3 linked regions of the Caenorhabditis elegans genome follow. The protein of the gene in region 2 interacts with the protein of the main gene of each other region in a pairwise test. Each region holds a gene or a part of one and is shown on either strand. Other genes may lie near its edges.

Evidence for each region. The genes of interacting proteins can lie anywhere in the genome.
Region 1: the proteins of xnd-1 (region 2) and elf-1 interact in a two-hybrid assay, tested with the Caenorhabditis elegans proteins (one large-scale study listed by BioGRID).
Region 3: the proteins of xnd-1 (region 2) and nhr-23 interact in a two-hybrid assay, tested with the Caenorhabditis elegans proteins (one large-scale study listed by BioGRID).

Annotation. Positions count from the first base shown.
Region 1 is NC_003281.10:704,457-709,356, forward strand, and holds the start of elf-1 (ETS domain-containing protein), read left to right. Parts: upstream 1-1,877; 5' UTR 1,878-1,972; coding exon 1,973-2,137; intron 2,138-2,696; coding exon 2,697-2,813; intron 2,814-3,636; coding exon 3,637-3,736; intron 3,737-4,100; exon of another isoform or gene 4,101-4,250; intron 4,251-4,597; coding exon 4,598-4,780; intron 4,781-4,900.
Region 2 is NC_003281.10:5,602,913-5,608,060, forward strand, and holds xnd-1 (X chromosome NonDisjunction factor), read left to right. Parts: upstream 1-1,547; 5' UTR 1,548-1,548; coding exon 1,549-1,921; intron 1,922-1,967; coding exon 1,968-2,157; intron 2,158-2,207; coding exon 2,208-2,299; intron 2,300-2,346; coding exon 2,347-2,548; intron 2,549-2,637; coding exon 2,638-2,884; intron 2,885-3,341; coding exon 3,342-3,680; intron 3,681-3,724; coding exon 3,725-4,306; intron 4,307-4,353; coding exon 4,354-4,437; 3' UTR 4,438-4,644; downstream 4,645-5,148. Other genes in the region: madf-11 (MADF domain-containing protein), read right to left, coding at 9-270, 315-406, 452-518; C05D2.8 (DUF7064 domain-containing protein), read right to left, coding at 4,662-4,926.
Region 3 is NC_003279.8:7,214,815-7,221,751, reverse strand, and holds nhr-23 (Nuclear hormone receptor family member nhr-23), read right to left. Parts: upstream 4,969-6,937; 5' UTR 4,791-4,968; coding exon 4,723-4,790; intron 2,967-4,722; coding exon 2,575-2,966; intron 2,435-2,574; coding exon 2,343-2,434; intron 2,297-2,342; coding exon 2,223-2,296; intron 2,177-2,222; coding exon 2,056-2,176; intron 1,990-2,055; coding exon of another isoform or gene 1,984-1,989; coding exon 1,892-1,983; intron 1,848-1,891; coding exon 1,292-1,847; intron 1,246-1,291; coding exon 964-1,245; intron 890-963; coding exon 800-889; 3' UTR 524-799; downstream 1-523. UniProt on the Caenorhabditis elegans protein: Orphan nuclear receptor. Transcription factor. Modulates expression of target genes, such as Period protein homolog lin-42 and microRNA let-7, by binding to hormone response elements (HRE).

The sequences.
Region 1 (4,900 bases), 4.9 Mb from region 2:
AAAAAAAAGTTTCCACGAAAATAAATTTTCATAGGGGGGACCCTTATGATTTTCAAAGCGGATCATAAGGGGGGACCCTTATGAATTTCAAAAATCCAAAAAAAATTTTTTTTTGAAAACTTGCTTTTAAATCATCAGATACAGTAGTAAATGATATTTACTCTATTTGTGTCAATTTAAACGTTAGGTAGAAAGTTTTTAGCTGAGAAAACGACTATTCCTTGTAGGGTTCAAGCATTTTGCTTACACTGCGAATCACCTGTGTTATGTGAACCATACCAGAAAGAAACAGTGGGTCCCGGTCGAGGAACACGCTAAACCTGATCTCAAAGGGGAACTTCACAAGAAAAAAGTGCTTCTCTCAATTTGGTGGGACAGTACGGGTGTCATTTTCCGAGAGCTTCTTCCAGACGGCGTCACCATCAACGCTGACCTGTACTGCACTCAATTGGAAAAGGTAGTCCATGCTCATCAATTACATCGCCCTAGAGGATCAAAATTGTTGCTGCTACATGACAACGCAAGACCTCATACAGCTGTGAAGACCCGCCAGAAGCTCCAATTCTCAGGAGTTCTATGCGGAGGAAATTGCTCAACTTCCGTTGCGTTGGCAAGAAGTTTATTAAAATGTTGCCCCCTAATTTGTTGCCCCGGGGAGAGTTCAAATGTTGACCCCTATTATGTTGCCCCCTTTTTTGCTGCCCCCTACATTTATGAAAATGTTGCCCCCTAATTTGTTGCCCCCCAGGGAGAGTTCAAATGTTGTCCCCTTTTTTGTTGCCCCCAGGGAGAGTTGGCCAAAAAATATATGCCTTAAATTTGAAATTCCCCCTTTCGCGATATATGCATTACGCATACATAATGTACACATCGCGAAAATGATCGCATTTTGTTCGCGATGTATACACTGTGTGCGTTTGCGCTTCGCTGATGTATGATTTATGCCTCAAAAGACACAATGTATACCCCGCGATTTAACTGTGTTTGAACACTGAAATTACGTCGCTGGTTCGAACCCCCGTCCGAGCGATGACGAATGAAACAATCTGTAGCCTATGTTTCTGAATTCCCATGTTCTTGAAATCTAGTCTGAGCTCCTCCTTTCTGACATTTTCTCGCGAAACCGGAAAACGACAACGTAAACCACCACAAAGCGAAAAAAAATTATGATGGTTGGTCCCCAAAAAACAATGTGTCTCGTCGTAGGGGGTTGTAAATACCTATTCAAAAAAAGTTCTCACAGGGATGGATAGTCATAACAGTACAGCAGTACGTATCGTACGTGTAGATTTCTTCTTAATAGAGCTGATATTCGATATATGGGGCATTGGGTTGTAAACGTGCGTCTCTTTGTATGAGGGGTGGCGATGTGTTGGCATCTAAATGAAAGTACTTAACTTTATTGAAACTTTGCGGCATTTTTTTGGATTTTCTCGAAATCTCATATTTTTCAAAATTTTGGCAATTTGCCAAAACTTTGACCAGAAATTATGAAAAATCTAAAAATTTTTGAAATGTTTTATTCTGATATTTGGTTGTTTTGGATGAGTATAAGTGTATTTAGGCAAAACCCCCCACTGGCGCTACCTCTGAGACCAAACAGATTTGACTGTTCCTTCCAAACTTTTGGCGCTGTGGCATCCTTTCAAAATTCCTAATCTCCCTCCCCCTTATTACGCCTTACCCCCCTCTTCCATCCCTTCACTTTTCAGTGGACAGGAAAACGGAAAACGGCTAGTACAAAGTAAATAATAGGGCCCCCCTCCATACAGTTTCGAGTGCGCGCGGAAAGGTCGCCGCGCCCCGCCCCACGCGGAACATAAGTAGGCGGGGTTTGTTGAGGGCGCGCGGACAGTGAAACACGAACACTTTCGCCCTTTCCGTGTGGATCCATAGTAGAATACACATTATTATTATTTATTTATTTATCTATTTATCTGAAATTTAGTTTTTTATTTTAATTTTCATTCCAATGATCCAAATACAAGGACAACCACGGCCTGAACCACTATTACTTGTATTACCAACTGCCACGTCACCACTTAATATTTCATCAAGTAATATCAGTAGCAAAAGTTCTCGAATCAACAATAATAATGATAATGAAAATGATGAGGAGGATGATGGGAGAGATTTGGTAAGGGGGGTTTTTTGCTGGTTTTTATGCTTTAATAGTTATAAACCAATACTACATTAGTGCTAAAGTTTCTAATTTTTATATTAAACTTTTTATAAAGTTTTGAATAATTTAATTATGTTTGTATCAAAAAACCTAAAATGTTTTGAATTTTGGCAATTTACCAAAACTTTAAAAAATTTACGATTCCGGCAAATTGCCGATTTGCCGGTTTGCCGGAAATTTTCAATTCCAGCAGTTTGTCGATTTGCCGATTTGCCGGAAATTTTCGATTCCGGCAATGTGCCGATTTGCCCCACCTTTGGTTTAAATGCTAGTTTTAAATCTGAGGTTCCACCCTTTCTTGCCTATTTTCTGGAACGTTGGAAATTAGGAAAATTATATTTCTTCAGTCATAAAATTTTGAAATTTTTGGAGAAAACTTTTAGTTTTAATTTGCAATTTTAGATTGAGTCAAAGATTTTCTCGATTAAACAGAATATTTTTGGAGTATTTTCAAAAGCTCTGGTTTTTCTCCATTAATTATTTTTCAAATCCAATTTCAACCGAAAATTTGAAGGATGTCGAAATGAAAACGGAATCCGAATGGCCTCGTATTGAACGACCAACACCAAAATATGCTGATGGTCGACGGATTTCTGCACCCGCTGTCCTGGCACACGGCCTGTTTGAAATTGTAAGTTTGTAATTTGAAAACTTAGTTTCAAGAACTGTAAAGCTCTGAAATATTTCAAAAAAATCATAAAATTTGAAGAAAAAAAAATCAGAACTATGTTTTTGAAAATTTGAAAAAAAAATCCCATCACCGCTTGACCTGCAAAATTACGGAAAATGAATTATCAAATAATGTGCCCACATAAATTTTACAAATGAAAAGCACGAGTGACGTCATAGAAGTCGAATTTTTAATGTTAAGTGTTTCAGAGTTTTTTGAGAAAGTTCTGGAAACTTCCAGAAGTTTCTGAACATTTTTTGGAAATCGAGATAAGTTCTGGAAAATTTTAGAACGTTACTGAAAGTTTTGGAAATTTCTGGAAATTCGAAAAATAAATTTTAAAAAGTTATGTGAAGTTTGACATGTCAAGATGGTTTTAGTAGGTTTATGCAATTTATGAAACATTGTGATTTTTTCAAATAAAAAAAAACAATTTTTAGGTAAAAACAACCTCTCATAGTTAACCCACTTTCATAGATTTAAATAAAATTATGATTTCAGAAACTTCACACTCACAAATCCTAAAAAACTTTTAAAACTGTAGTTTAATGTTTCTAAAACGTCAACTCGACCTTCGGACTTCTCATATGATTCTTATCAGTAAAAGTGCGGAAAAAGCACAAAAAATAGGGAAAAAGAGGGTGGAATTCCGATTTTAGACTTCCTGGGTTTTTTGTTTGATTTAAACTTTAATTTCTTCGTGAACTATTCTGGAAACTTCCATTAACTACTACCAAAAATGATATCCACAGTACTACATATTCCAATTTCTACACAACTTCAGCCAACTTCATGTTCCGTCCAGATTACTGTACTTCAACAATTGTTGGATCAGAGTTCCACGCTGAGTTTGGAGCCGACGAACAGTCCCGATTCTGGTGTTGGTGAGTTTTTTTTTGAATTTTTTTGTAGAGAATTTGAAGTTTTGCGCTGAGTTCAAGTGTTCAATATCAAACTTTGCACACTTTTTTTGAAATTTCAAAAGTCTAAACTTGTGGCAGACTTAAATTTTTTAATATTTAACTAAATGAAAATGAACGCCAAAATTTGTGTTACTGGAATATCAATCCTCGTGAATATTTTATAGTTTTAGAGTTGCAAATCAGGGGTAGAATTCGGCAAATCTTTTTTCCCGATTTGCAGGACATTTTTAATTCCGGCAATGTGCCGGTTCGCCGATTTGCCGGAAATTTTCAATTCTGGCAATTTGTACAATTTTGCCGATTGAAATTGAAATTCTGAAATTTCCAAAAAAAACAGTGCAGAACCCTAATTTGTCTAAAATTTTCCGCATTTGCCGTTTTTCCGGCATATTCGGCAAATCGGCAAAAATTGGAAATTTCAACTCCGTCAATTTGCCCATTTGCCGGAATAAATCATTGCCGCACTCCCCTGTTGCAAATAACGCAAATTTTTAGAAATTCTGTTTCAAGTTTAGTTTCAAACCTTTTTTTGATTTTTAGTAAAAATTTCGACTTGATTTTAGGATTTTTTTGTTAAAATCCACGCCGCCTTTAATGTTTTAATTTTTAGCAACTCTTACGCTAGGATTTTCTGTAATTATTGCTTTTCAAAAATTCACACAGAAATGCAACGATAGTAGCCAAAAGTCCAAAGGTCTCCACGCACTTTGTCATTTTCCAACTGATTATCACACTTATCAGCGCCACAAATTTCCGTTTTCCGCAACAAGCTTCCCCGCTTCCTCAATTTTTCATCAAAAATCAAACAAAAAAAATTTGCAGGCACCGACTCGACACCCGAAACGTCTCCGTCAAGTTCAACGACACGCCGTCACGCATTTGCTCCGCCACCACCTCGACCACGACCTCCTACAGTACCCCTGCCTACCGTAACCCAACAGATTCCGTGGCAGACGTCGACGATTTGGCCTTGGATTCAGCAGGCGCAGAGTGCGAGCACGGCAGGTAAATTTGAATTTTTAAAGAGTCTGGAAATTTCAAAAAATGTGCAACCGACAAACTTTCGATTAAAATTTCAAATTTCGCGCAGAAATTCTGTTCCCAATATAATTAGTGTTTCAATTG
Region 2 (5,148 bases):
ACTCTTACATTTCTTCTTAAAAATCAATGAATCTGTCCATCGCATTGCCTCAATTAGTCCATCGGACATATCAATCGATTTTCTAGCATATTGATCGAGAAGATCCGACCAGACTTCCTGAACAAGAGTGATGTCCTGCCAAACTATATCAGCACGTATCCGATCCCATGCTTCTCGTTTCTGAACCTTCAACTGAGCATCCGGCGTGGCGGCTTGCATCTCCTCATCGTAGAGAATCGGATTTTCTCGAACCATATTGATTAGTTGAAGCTGAAAATTTGAAAATTTTGAATTTTAAACGTTTTCCAGCTTACAAGTGTGTATTGCGTAGTTTTTACGGGTGGATCTTCCCTGGAAAATTGTTGTTGGAGGTCTCCAGCACCACCGTGGGAGCTTGAGGCGACACCTGGAAAAATTATTGGAAATTCTGAATCTATGAATATCGATTTACTTGTCATTGAATGCTTGAGACCGGCGATTTGATAATCCTCTGTTCCGTGCCGCCGTCGGTCGCTCATTGGAAATTTTTAATAATAATTCTGAAATTTATTTTCTTCTCAAATTCTCGCAAGTTTCTCAAGCATTTCTAGCTGCGTTGCGTGGCGATTCCTTCCCGAATTCGAGTTTCATATCAATCTACGATCCATTGAACCCAATAACCCGATTGGCAAGAAGATGATCGTACACACTCATTCACATAGGTGATAGACGTGCTACAGACCGTGGGAGACTCGAACGGGTAGTAGGGCGGAGCCGGGAACCGCGACGCAACCGAAACGCTTCAGAAACCGCAACGGAACAGGCATGCGAAGCGGTCAAGATTCGAAAAAGAAAACGGAGCGAACAGGCAGAAAAACATCGATAGATAGGCGCGCGTGGCCGAGAAGGAGGCGAGACGAGACATCTAGGCCATCGATGGTTTCTCTGCGTCTCTCAAGTGAGTAAATAAATGGTTTTGAGAGGGTAAAATGAAGAAAAAGGATTGATCGAAATTTAAAAACTTAGTCTAGGAAAGGAAAACAAAGCAGGGGAAATCTGAAACAAAACATATAAAAACACACATTTTAACTATTTTTCAGAGTTAAACAAATATAATCTAACAAGAATTCAACTTCAAAGTGAAGATTTCCAGAAACGAAAATGGTTATGTGATTTAAAAATGTGATTTGTTCAAGGAATTACAAGAAAACTCTGGTTTAACATTTGAAGAAAATCCATATTGCGAAAAATGAATTTTAAAAGAATTATTGACGGTTTTGAAATGTGAAATTTTCAATAAATTTCGAAAAATAGATAACTTTTTTTAAATAAAGAAAAACAACGAAAAAATATTTCAGTGGTTACGGTAAACAAGCATAAGAGTGTTTGCGTACTGCGGACCAAAATCTTCGCGAGACCTCGGGTACTGTAGAAAATTTAGGTATTTTTAAAACTTTATTTTTCTATTAATTTCCCTTCTTTCTCATTGGGATTTTCTAGTTTTCTGGTAAATAAAAACAGTTTAAATTTAAATTTAAAAATTTTATCTCCATATTTTTTGTTTCCAGGATGTCTTCTGAACCCATTGTTGCCAATCTAGACAATTCCATGACGACAGAGCCTGCACCCGCAGCTTTTCCACCAATATCCCCAATGTCATTTGCTTTTATGAATGAAGAAGAACGAGCAGCGGTCAAGTTTCCAAAAGTTGATCCAAAACCGCAAACTGCTAAAGATGATGAACCTTCCACATCCCAGAAAACGTTGAGCGTCGATGATCTTCTGATAGTCGACGACGACGACGAAACTGATTCACCACCGGCATCTTCTAGTAATTATGAACCTAAAGCTCATATTGGATGGGCTTCATTCGGAGATTCCTGTCTCCCACCTCCACCAAAGCCAGTTAAAAAAGCTACGGATCCAAATTTGCCACGAAGAAGTTTGTTTGCAAATGGTCCTCTGTTAAATAAAAATATTGTTTTCAGAAGTCTACGTCATTCGTTCTCAGAATACAGACAAGTCGAAGTCCCCGTTAGTTGTTAATAACCAACAAGTAACACTCGAAAAGGCACAAAATTCTCCAAAAAATCCGAATCCTGTTGTATCTAAGCCAATAGTGCTTACAGACTCTGATGAGGATGTGGACGTTGTTGGATTCGACGAAGAGGAGGAAGCGTTAGTTTTTAAAAAGTTTTTTATTAAACAAAACAATCACCCGTCTTCAGAATTAAAATTATGGCCGACCCTACACGCCCACCAGATCTTCCACCACAGCGATCTCTGATATCCAGATTTGAGTCGAATCGAACCAAAAGAGGTATTTTCCATGAAAATTTGATTTTTTAAAGCTCATTTTCTCTTCAGATATCTTCCGAAACAGTTATGATTCTGATGAGGAGGAATTTCTGCGATCTCGGTACCAGCGAGCTGTCACACCGCCGCCAATTCTCGAGCGACAAAGTGGAAGTACTCGGGAGTCTGTAAGCGAACCAAGTGAAGGGAAAATTCTCGAGGAAGACGCAACGCTTGGAAGTGAACATACGGAAAGAGTCGGAAAACGAATTGAGTAAGTTGAATTTCGGGTTTTTGAAAACCTTGACTTCCAAAATAATGACAATTTGTTTAATAAGTCCTGCTAAAAAGCAAATTTTCCAGATTGGAGGAAATCAATCCATCACAGCTTCTACGAACCAAAATTTCGGCGAGCGCAATTCCAATCCTTCCACTCTCCAAATCGATAATGGAACGTAAAAAAGTAGCTCTGGAGATGACGAAAAACGCCGTGATCAGACAAGCGAATAACTTCCGTCCAAAAGCCAAAAACAGTACCGTGGCTCCAAAAAGTGTCCAAATTCCTGCATATAATCATAAAACTCCTATGACGTTCTACTCGAATATGGCGGTAAATTATATATTTTTGGAAAACCCTAAAGTGGAACTTCAATATTTCGAATTTTCCTGCATTATCATTAACAAAAAAACTTTTCAGCAATTACTAGTGTTTTTCATCCAATAATTATATTATTTCATTCCCTGTTTTCATCATAAGCAAAAAATATTTTCATCTAATGGTTGCACAAAATGGTAAATTTTTTGAAGAACTACAGTAACCCAACTCCAGTTTCTCTCAATAAATTAAAAAAATCTTGGCGAAAAATAAGAAAGTTCAGCGACATTGAAAAGAAGAGGAGAAGGGTTACTGTAGTTCTAAAAGGCGCTTACATTTTTGCGCCGGGATGATTGGAGATAATTGTTCGTGGTGCGACCGTAGTTCTTCCTAAAATTTTGCCACTGGCTAGTACTTTACAAAATCAAATTATTTGTGGCGAGACCTACAACGAACAATTTTCAAAATTCAGGCCCCCGCCTTCGTCAAAGGAGTCAATGGAAGATGTTATCGTTGCGCCGAAATTCAAAAGCCTGTGGATATGAGCTCCTTCCGATTCGTCGACGATTCTACCGTTATTGCCATCCGTGCTCATCTTTGCGATCAGACACGCGTCATGGTAGCTAGAACAGCAATTTGGAATCGAGAATACGCGAAACGACTCGGCGATCGAGCTGCTGGAACTGTTTGGCAGAAACCGGACGAGGTGTCGGCTCAGATGACCGGATTTTGCAGTGCGACGGTTCGTAGATGTATTGAGATTGCCAATATGTCTATCATTCCAAAGTGTGCTGATCGTGTTGGTGTTTCGGTAAGTTTCAAAGAACAAAGAAGATTTAATCTAACTTTTTTCAGAGAAACGAACTGACCTCCCTGAAGTCTTCTTTCGGATCCGAGAAGTTTTGTGGGCAGACCATGCGAGCTCCACATGTACTCACTCAGTTCTACTCAGTTAATCAGGCATCGATGGCTCGTAATAGGGAAGGTTCTGATGGTCCTTCTTCCTCAGCAGCAAGACCGGTTGGAAGACCACCCACTACGCAACCAGTAGAAACTGCAGTGGAGAAAAAGAAGAATGATGAAGATGAGAAAAGACATCATCCACTCACAAACTTCACAACAGCATCCACGTCTTCCCAAAATCTGCAAGATCAACCACCACCCAAGAATACCGTTCTCCGCTGGTCAAATATCACAACTCCGAGGATTCTTCGTCCACCAACTCTCAAAACTCCCTACTCGCTTCCCAGGACTGCAGTGATTCCGGTGATGAAGAAGAAGCAGCCCGAAATAGAGCAAGTTCAGCCGAAGAAGGACACGACGGCAAGCCTTGTTCGCAAAAGAGGCCGCCCGAGAAAGGAGAAGCCTCTGGAGGTGCAGTCTCCTCGCAAGGGACTATATCTTCGCTTCAAATCGTGCACAAAGTATATTGTTCGGGTAAGAGAACTGAACAATTTGAAAACTTGAAATATTTGGTTTTACAGACTCCAATTGACAAAAGTGTCCAAGAAACGGTGAACTATCTACTGGATGAGGTTGACAAAAGGGCTTCAACTTCTGCTACGTAGCTGCTACAATCTCTGTTCTTTTGTTTTTGTTTTCTCGTTCTAAATGTTTTGTTGTCTCATGTTTTTAGTTCTTCGGAACTTGTTATCCCCTCCCAGTGTTTTATTATTTTTTGTACATTTTACTGTTGCTCTGTTCTGCACGTTGACCCCACATTTGTTAGTAGCATATGAAACGGTTTTATAAAGTAAGTGGAAAAGGTAGAAAATCTGAATTTGATAATTTTTTAATACGGCTGAATACGATACTCGACTTCCGCGAATCCCCATCCCGGCTTTCCGTCGACAACGAATTCGCTCATTCCTTCGGTGACCTGACATGCTTGATCCAATCCCATTTTGAATGAGACGGCTTCCTTGATATGAACATCTGCGTGATGAATCTTGCCGTCAACTTCGAACGAGTAGTGGAAATCATCAGGGAAATGACGATCCTCTCCGTGGTTTGGAAGGGAGAAGTGTACACGATCCACTGGCTTCGTCTCACCAGTTCTGAAAAAAAAAATTTAGGTTCTGCCCATTAAGGAAATTACTAGAATCTTTTGCGAGAATACGGTACTCGGTCTCGAAACGACTTAAAGGACACTTATAATGATCCAAAACGACGAAAAATCATAATAAAACACTCCAAAAATGTTTATATTTTTCGTAAGCTTTCGCAAATTGCCAAAATATTGAAAAATAGGAGCTATTGAGAAAATCTAAAGCAATGTT
Region 3 (6,937 bases), on a different chromosome or scaffold from region 2:
AGGTAGAACCGAGAGGAAAGTGAAATAAATTAAAAAGTCGGTGTATGGAGCTGAATGCATTGATGACAATGAAACATATTTAGGATGTTACATGAAACAATGGAAACACTCAAGCGACCACTACACCATAAACGAGAAAATGGTTGGATCAAATGGGTAAGAAGGCGTAATTAAAGCGCAGACACTGGAATGATACGAGTTTTAAAAGGCAATAAATGGGGAGATATTTAATAAAATAAAAATTAGTGCGCCTAGAAATCCAGATAAATGGAAATTTGTGGTTTTGTACCCGTGTTGATCACGAAAAGAGTATGGGATGGGATGGGGAGAGGCATCAATACCTGAAGAGAAATGATAAGACAAGAGAGAGATTGGTATGGTTTCAGAAATTTTACTGAACATGAAATGCAAGAAAACATGGAACGCAACATGATTGTACATGGTACACGAGGGGGGGGGGGGGGGTGACAAAAGTCATTAATAAATTAGAACAAGTAAGTAAAGAAGATCCGAGTAAATCACTTTAAAAACAGGAAAAGGAGAGAAAGAATGAGGAACTCTCCTGCAACAGACGACTACAATTATTTTTCTATTAATTTTCTGATAAAACATGGAAACGACTGGGGTTTTGGGGGGAATGTCGGGAAAGGAAATCACAGAAGGAAAGAAAATGGTGTCGTTGGGTTCAAACGGCGCTTTGGTCTACTCTTATTGTACAAATAACCGGAGGAAACGAGATTCATGGACGGGGATAGGGAAGGAGAGCATGGATAAAACTATTGATGATATATGGATTCAGTCAAGGCCGATCTGCAGTGAATAGCTCTTTGTAGAGGGCAGGAAGCTTTTCAGATGATGTTGGATCAGACATTCGGAAGTTTTGAAGAGCCTGTAAATAGAAAAATAATAACCTCAAAATTAAGCATTCCAGATTATTTATATCCAAGCTTCAGCAAATAATACCTCTTGATGCAAACGAGCTGTTTGTCTGATTCTTGTCTCAACATCTTGAATTCGGTGAATCGTGTCTTCCATGCATCCAATTCTTGGCATGACACTTTGGTACAACGCGTTCTTCAGTGTTTCTGCAGTGGCAATCGTCGCAGTGTCAAGAATCCCAATTCCATGAGAAGAAGACACTTGCTCCAGAATAAGTCCAGCGGCAAGAAGAGCTAATTCGGATTGATGCGGTTGTAAATGAACAATTTCTTGAAGAGTGTTATTAACTTCAACGATCAATTGCATCTGAAACATTGAGTATGAGCCGATATTACTCTATGAAAATAAATACCTCGGCATCATCTTCGGCAATCAAGCATGCAAATGGAACAGAATACCTTTCACCGCACACTGCCTGCGCGTCTACATTGTAATACATAGCAGCAAAAACGAGTGATAACTCAAAAACGCTTCCCTTCAGCAATTGAATCTGTGTTTCTTGCGGAAGATTCATAAATCCATCAATACTTTTGGCAAACTCAATAATTGCTTGAATAAGCGGATTGAGCTCCCTAGCGAAGAGCTCCCAACCACCAGCTCGACTCAAATGAGGAATACAATCAGGATCCACGTTACAAACTCCATGTTGTGTTGTATAGGAACTGTGCTGCTGATTGAAAGCTCTGATAACGCGAGTGGCAACGTCTTCTTCTGGAACTTGTGGCGATGGGAAGCTTCCTCCAGTGGCTTGATGTGCAACATATTGTGTGCCATTTGTAGATGATGGTGTTGCTCCGTACATGTTCTGTGGCATTGGAGTCGTAGGAGTCGCAGCAACAGCTATAGAATATCCGTTAACAGGTGTTGAAGTTCCAGATGGATAATGACCGTACATACTTTGATCAAAGCTGAAAATGACGTTGCATGACAGAAAAATGTAGGTGATAATTACCAATAACTGGGATGGGATGGTGGAGGGGAATAGTCGCCGTAAATTGCTTGGTATCCAAGACCATTTGCAGCTAATTCTTTATGCATTCGAACCTGAACCTTTAAGGATTGAACAGACAAAAACGATGACATGAATACGAAGTTTAGAATTGGGAATGTAAATACCTCATCTTCTACTTTTTCTCGTTGCTTTTTTGACATTCGTCCAAATTTAACTGCATCCCGTGACATTCCTAACTCAATACACTTTTTGAGACGGCAGTATTGGCATCGATTTCGATTCACTCTGAAAATACGATATTAAATTTCTGTAACATTCCTAACTGAGATACCTATCAACAACACAATTCTTCTGTCTCGGACACTGATAATTGACGATGGATGATTGACTGCGTCGGAAAAAGCCCTGAAAAATGTATAAGAAATAAAGTAATTCTGGTAAAAAGGCATACCTTGCAGCCTTCACATGTGATAACTCCATAGTGAACGCCAGACGACTTGTCACCGCACACTTTACATGGTATTACTTCTATCTGCGCTGATACTGAAAAAGTAAATTTAGAATCTTTAAAAAGTTCAGTTTATCACAATTTTGGAGTGTTTTTTTTCAGAGTTCGGTTCCAAATTCCAAATTTCAAGGGTTTTAAAGGTTAGTAGGACAATGAACAAAAAATACGTGCATACCCAGAAGAGATTTGTTTTCGGGAAGTCCCCGGAAGCTCATATTATCAGGAAGAATTCCGGCCATATCGACTCGATTTGTATCAATAACACATGTCAATCTTTTGGAATTGTTTCCCATTTGAAGATCTCCGCCGCCTATACGAAAATCATCGGGAACTGACTTAAACTCCCGAGCAAAACAAAAATTTGGTTCCGATTTGATCGTATGCGGATGAAACATGCAATTTGAACTCTCGCATCCAGATTCATCATTTTCCTTGCTTTTTGGAGTTTCAATTGAGAGTGATGGTTGAAGAGATGACTTTGCATGAAGAGTTCGTGTTGCATCAGCCAACTTCTGCTCTACAGCTTGCATCGGAAAATTGTGAGCTTGTTGTCGCGATCGAGGCCAGCTGAAGATAAAATCAAGAAAGGCGGACTACAATTTAAGCGAGTAATGATAGGATACGCGGAAAGATTGAACGTCTAGAAACAGTTTGCGAAACGTTTTTTTTTTACGAAATGCCATGCAATCGCAGAGCTTAAGAAACTCACCTATTAGTTACTGGAGGATATAAATTGAAATTAATTGAAATTTCGAAACAAAAACCAGCCGTGGATCTTAACGTGACTTATTATTATTATTTAGGTTTTATCAATAAGATATAATCTAAACATAATAACTAGCTTATAGTTAGGAAAAAAATTCACGCAAAATAAATATTTAAATTCCTGCTGAACATTTTTTTTCATTGTTATTTGCTTTTGGGGGGGGAATTAGCCTTAAAAATTGAATCATTGCATATTTTAGATTAGAATAGTAAGATTTTTTTCGAATTCTAAATTTAAATTTGAGAAAAATGGTTGAAAACAAAATATTTATGTCAAAAATGAATTTAAAAAAAAACGAATATCAGCGAGGCGGACTACGGTAGGCGACATAAAATGAACTAAAGTCCGCAAACACTCTTAGCACACCGTACCTTCTGCGTTTTTAATATTTATAAATATTAAAAACGCAGAAGTTCAAATATTTGAAAAAAAACAAAAAAATTTTGTTTTTGCATTGTTTTGCAAATGGAATTCTTCAAAAGAAATTTGGTGAAACTGGAAATTTTAATGTCTCGCCTAAAACGCAAAAAAAATGGCTCAGCTTTTTGGTATTTTTAAATGAAAAATTTGACGAAAACCCGCCAAGAGAAATATGCTTCGGGAGTTCTTTATGTTTTTGTGCATAAATTTTAATCAGAAAATGTATACGGCAAGAATATAAAATCTATATCAATCTCACTTCGAATAGCATCACTCATTTCTGATTCAGATAAAAATCTCGTCGTCCCCAACTCTTTTATTATATCGGCTCGATTTTCAACCTCGTTTCCTAGGACCACAATTATCAGGTCTTATATATTCGCAACATATTTCATATTTCCTCATCATACCGCTCATCCTTCATTTCCTGCCTATTCTCAACTTTATCCCCATCTCACCGCTCCTCTCATAACAATTACAGTGTTTTGAAAGAATGAAGAGACGGTGACGATGGAGGATATGGGAATACTGAGAAACAAGGTAGGAAATGAAGAAGACGTAGGAATAAGAAGATGAAGAAGACAATTGTGTGTACGTCTCCGCGCTATTTCTTCATCTCGAGAAGTGACCTCGGTACCTGTGCACGGTGTGTTGCGCGCGAACGGTACGGTATGCCTCCCGCCAGGAGGTGACAGGACCCCGCGTCGTCGACGTCGTCGCGCTGTGTGAGGCAGGATATAGACGACGTGGTTTGCGATGATGGTGGTGGCGGCAGCGGCAGCGACGACGACGACGGGAGGTTGCAATTTCGTAAATTGTACTTTCCGCTGATCATGCGAAACGACAAAAGAGAGACGGAGACGTATACACAGCAAGTACGTGATGGTACCGCCGCGGAAAACTGGGAAAAGTGAATTTGATGGCAAAAACGGTGAAGAACACCCGAAATCTGGTTAAAAATATGTGCAAAATTTCAGAAACTTTCAGCCATCTTAGATAGTCTTCGAAACTTCCATTTTGAATTGAAACATCCCTACAGTATGCTAGAACATTACGGATTGCTTCAAATGTCTAGAGTTAGATCAAAAGATTTCAGGACACCCGCCGAGGTGCCACGTAAACAGAAAAACAACTCACTACACGAACGATGACATTTCGAGAACTGAAGTGAGGTGCCGATTTGGGCCAGTGACCTTACAGGCCATGCCATGCGCTCTGATGTGCCTTGACCCCTGATCTTCTTAAAAACCTTTTTTCAAGATTTTCGAAATGAGTGAAAATGGTTTTGATGTTGTTTGGCTAAACTCTCGAAATGACCATTGAAATGTTGCATTGAAGACCATCGAAGCGAGAACATGCACCTGGTACCGACAGTGACCACCTAATGGTAGAGAATACCGGTTTTCGGTGACACGCGGCTGGACGGGAAAAGGTGTCCCTTACCCCCACTCTCATTAGTCACTGATAAAGTACATTGTGTGAGATAATTAGAATGTAATTTCAAGTAAAAAAAACCAAAAAGCTGTGCTTTAAGATTTTTGCAATTTAATAGTAAGTGTAAACTTAAAAAGGGGAATAAAGAAAACTGAATTCAAGGTCAAGATGTGAGACGAACTTAATTGGGAATAATAACTCGATGAGGAGATGAGATACCATTAATACTTATTATAACTGCCGCACTGGTACTGACTCGTGCGGGCCATAAAGACTGTCCGTATTGAGTTGAAGTTATGACCAATAAGGAAAAATTTAGTAAGGGGGAGAAAATTATTTTTAGTGCTCCTTACATAATAAATTTAGATGTATAAAATAAATAGTGAAAGTAAATATCTAGAAGTAAAGCGAGAAAGAGGGAGAGAAAATCAGAGATCTTTTTGAGATACTGATCTTAATCTACAAAAGAGGGAATGTGGTTTCGGAAAAGAACAGAACACGACCACAAATAAGAAAAAAACCATTCGATAAGTATTTTTAATATCCTGCACAGTTTCAAGATGTTGAGTTATAACAAAATAATAGTACAATTCAAATATCAAAATATACCATAACTGAAAAGTGTAACTTTTGCAAAATAGACACAGTAATAAAATTGAAATTTTCAAATCAGTATTAATCCGACAGAAAATGGGAAAACGAATCTTCTCATAAATGAAAAAGGGCGCACGAAAATCTGAAGCATGGTTTTTGTGCTCCATTTACTGGGTACGACTATTTATTTGGTACTGGGTGCAAAATAGATACCGTACTATAATTGAGCCACATTGTTCATATCCTTTTTAGCTTATATCTCATTTTGTTTCATCGAAAAGTTATCAATTCACAAATTGCTTCGTAGTTGACTGTGTTTTGATATTTGTAAAATTAGTCCAGATATAAATTGACAAAGTAGAGTAATGGATTTCAGTACTGTGAGACTTTTTAAACTAGAAGTTTCAAGTGTCAAAGGAGGAACCGGGAATTGTTTATAAATAAAACTACAGTATAAATAGGAATCACATAATAAATAACTCAGTATAATACCAGAAAGGAAAAGCAAATAAGTTTAAGTTGCGCTAAAGAAAAGAAAAATACGGTGATGGTAAAAATAATTTAAAGTCCAAAAAAAAACAATTATAAGCGTATAAGATACTGTAAAACTGAAACATAATCAAAATCCACACAAAGAAGCCAAAAACGAACTACGACATCATTTCAAAGTGTTGAAATGTCGATTCTTTCTTCAATTTTGGGCTGTTCCCTCCTTCACAATTCATCTTTTCAAAAGGGCATTTTGAAGAGTATTACGGTAGAGGAAGGTGGTGGTCTCTATCTCGTCCAACTATGGGGCAATGGCAGAGTGACCGTGAAATATAGGCATTTTTGATCAATTTGATAGACTTGATAACAGTGGAACGTGCATAACATAGATGGTAAACATTGGTTAGACAACACAAACACATTTTGAAACCTTTCAATTGGAATCTGGAACCTAGAACCTGGATCATGGATCTTGAAACGAACTACTGAATTAATTGTTGTCCTATCGGCAAAAATGAATCTTTTTTGGGTTAGCCATGGCCGAAAACGGGGTGACCGGGTTAGCGGGTCCGGTCGCCGGGCCATGCCCTTCCCCGTTTTTTTGCATCTCTTTCTCTCTCCTTCCACCAACATCTTCGAGAGAAGAAGAAGATGAAGAAGACGTGAGATGACCTACCTCGCATGTCGTCGTCCGAACGCAAGTGACCCGGCCGGTCAGTAGCCGTCGCCGGTAGGGATGCGTCGATCCGGTGTGTCTGCGCATCACAACACTCTCGTCCCCACCCATCCCCTCTATCTCTCCGTTCTCTCGATCACGGCGGCGCCCTCCCAGATC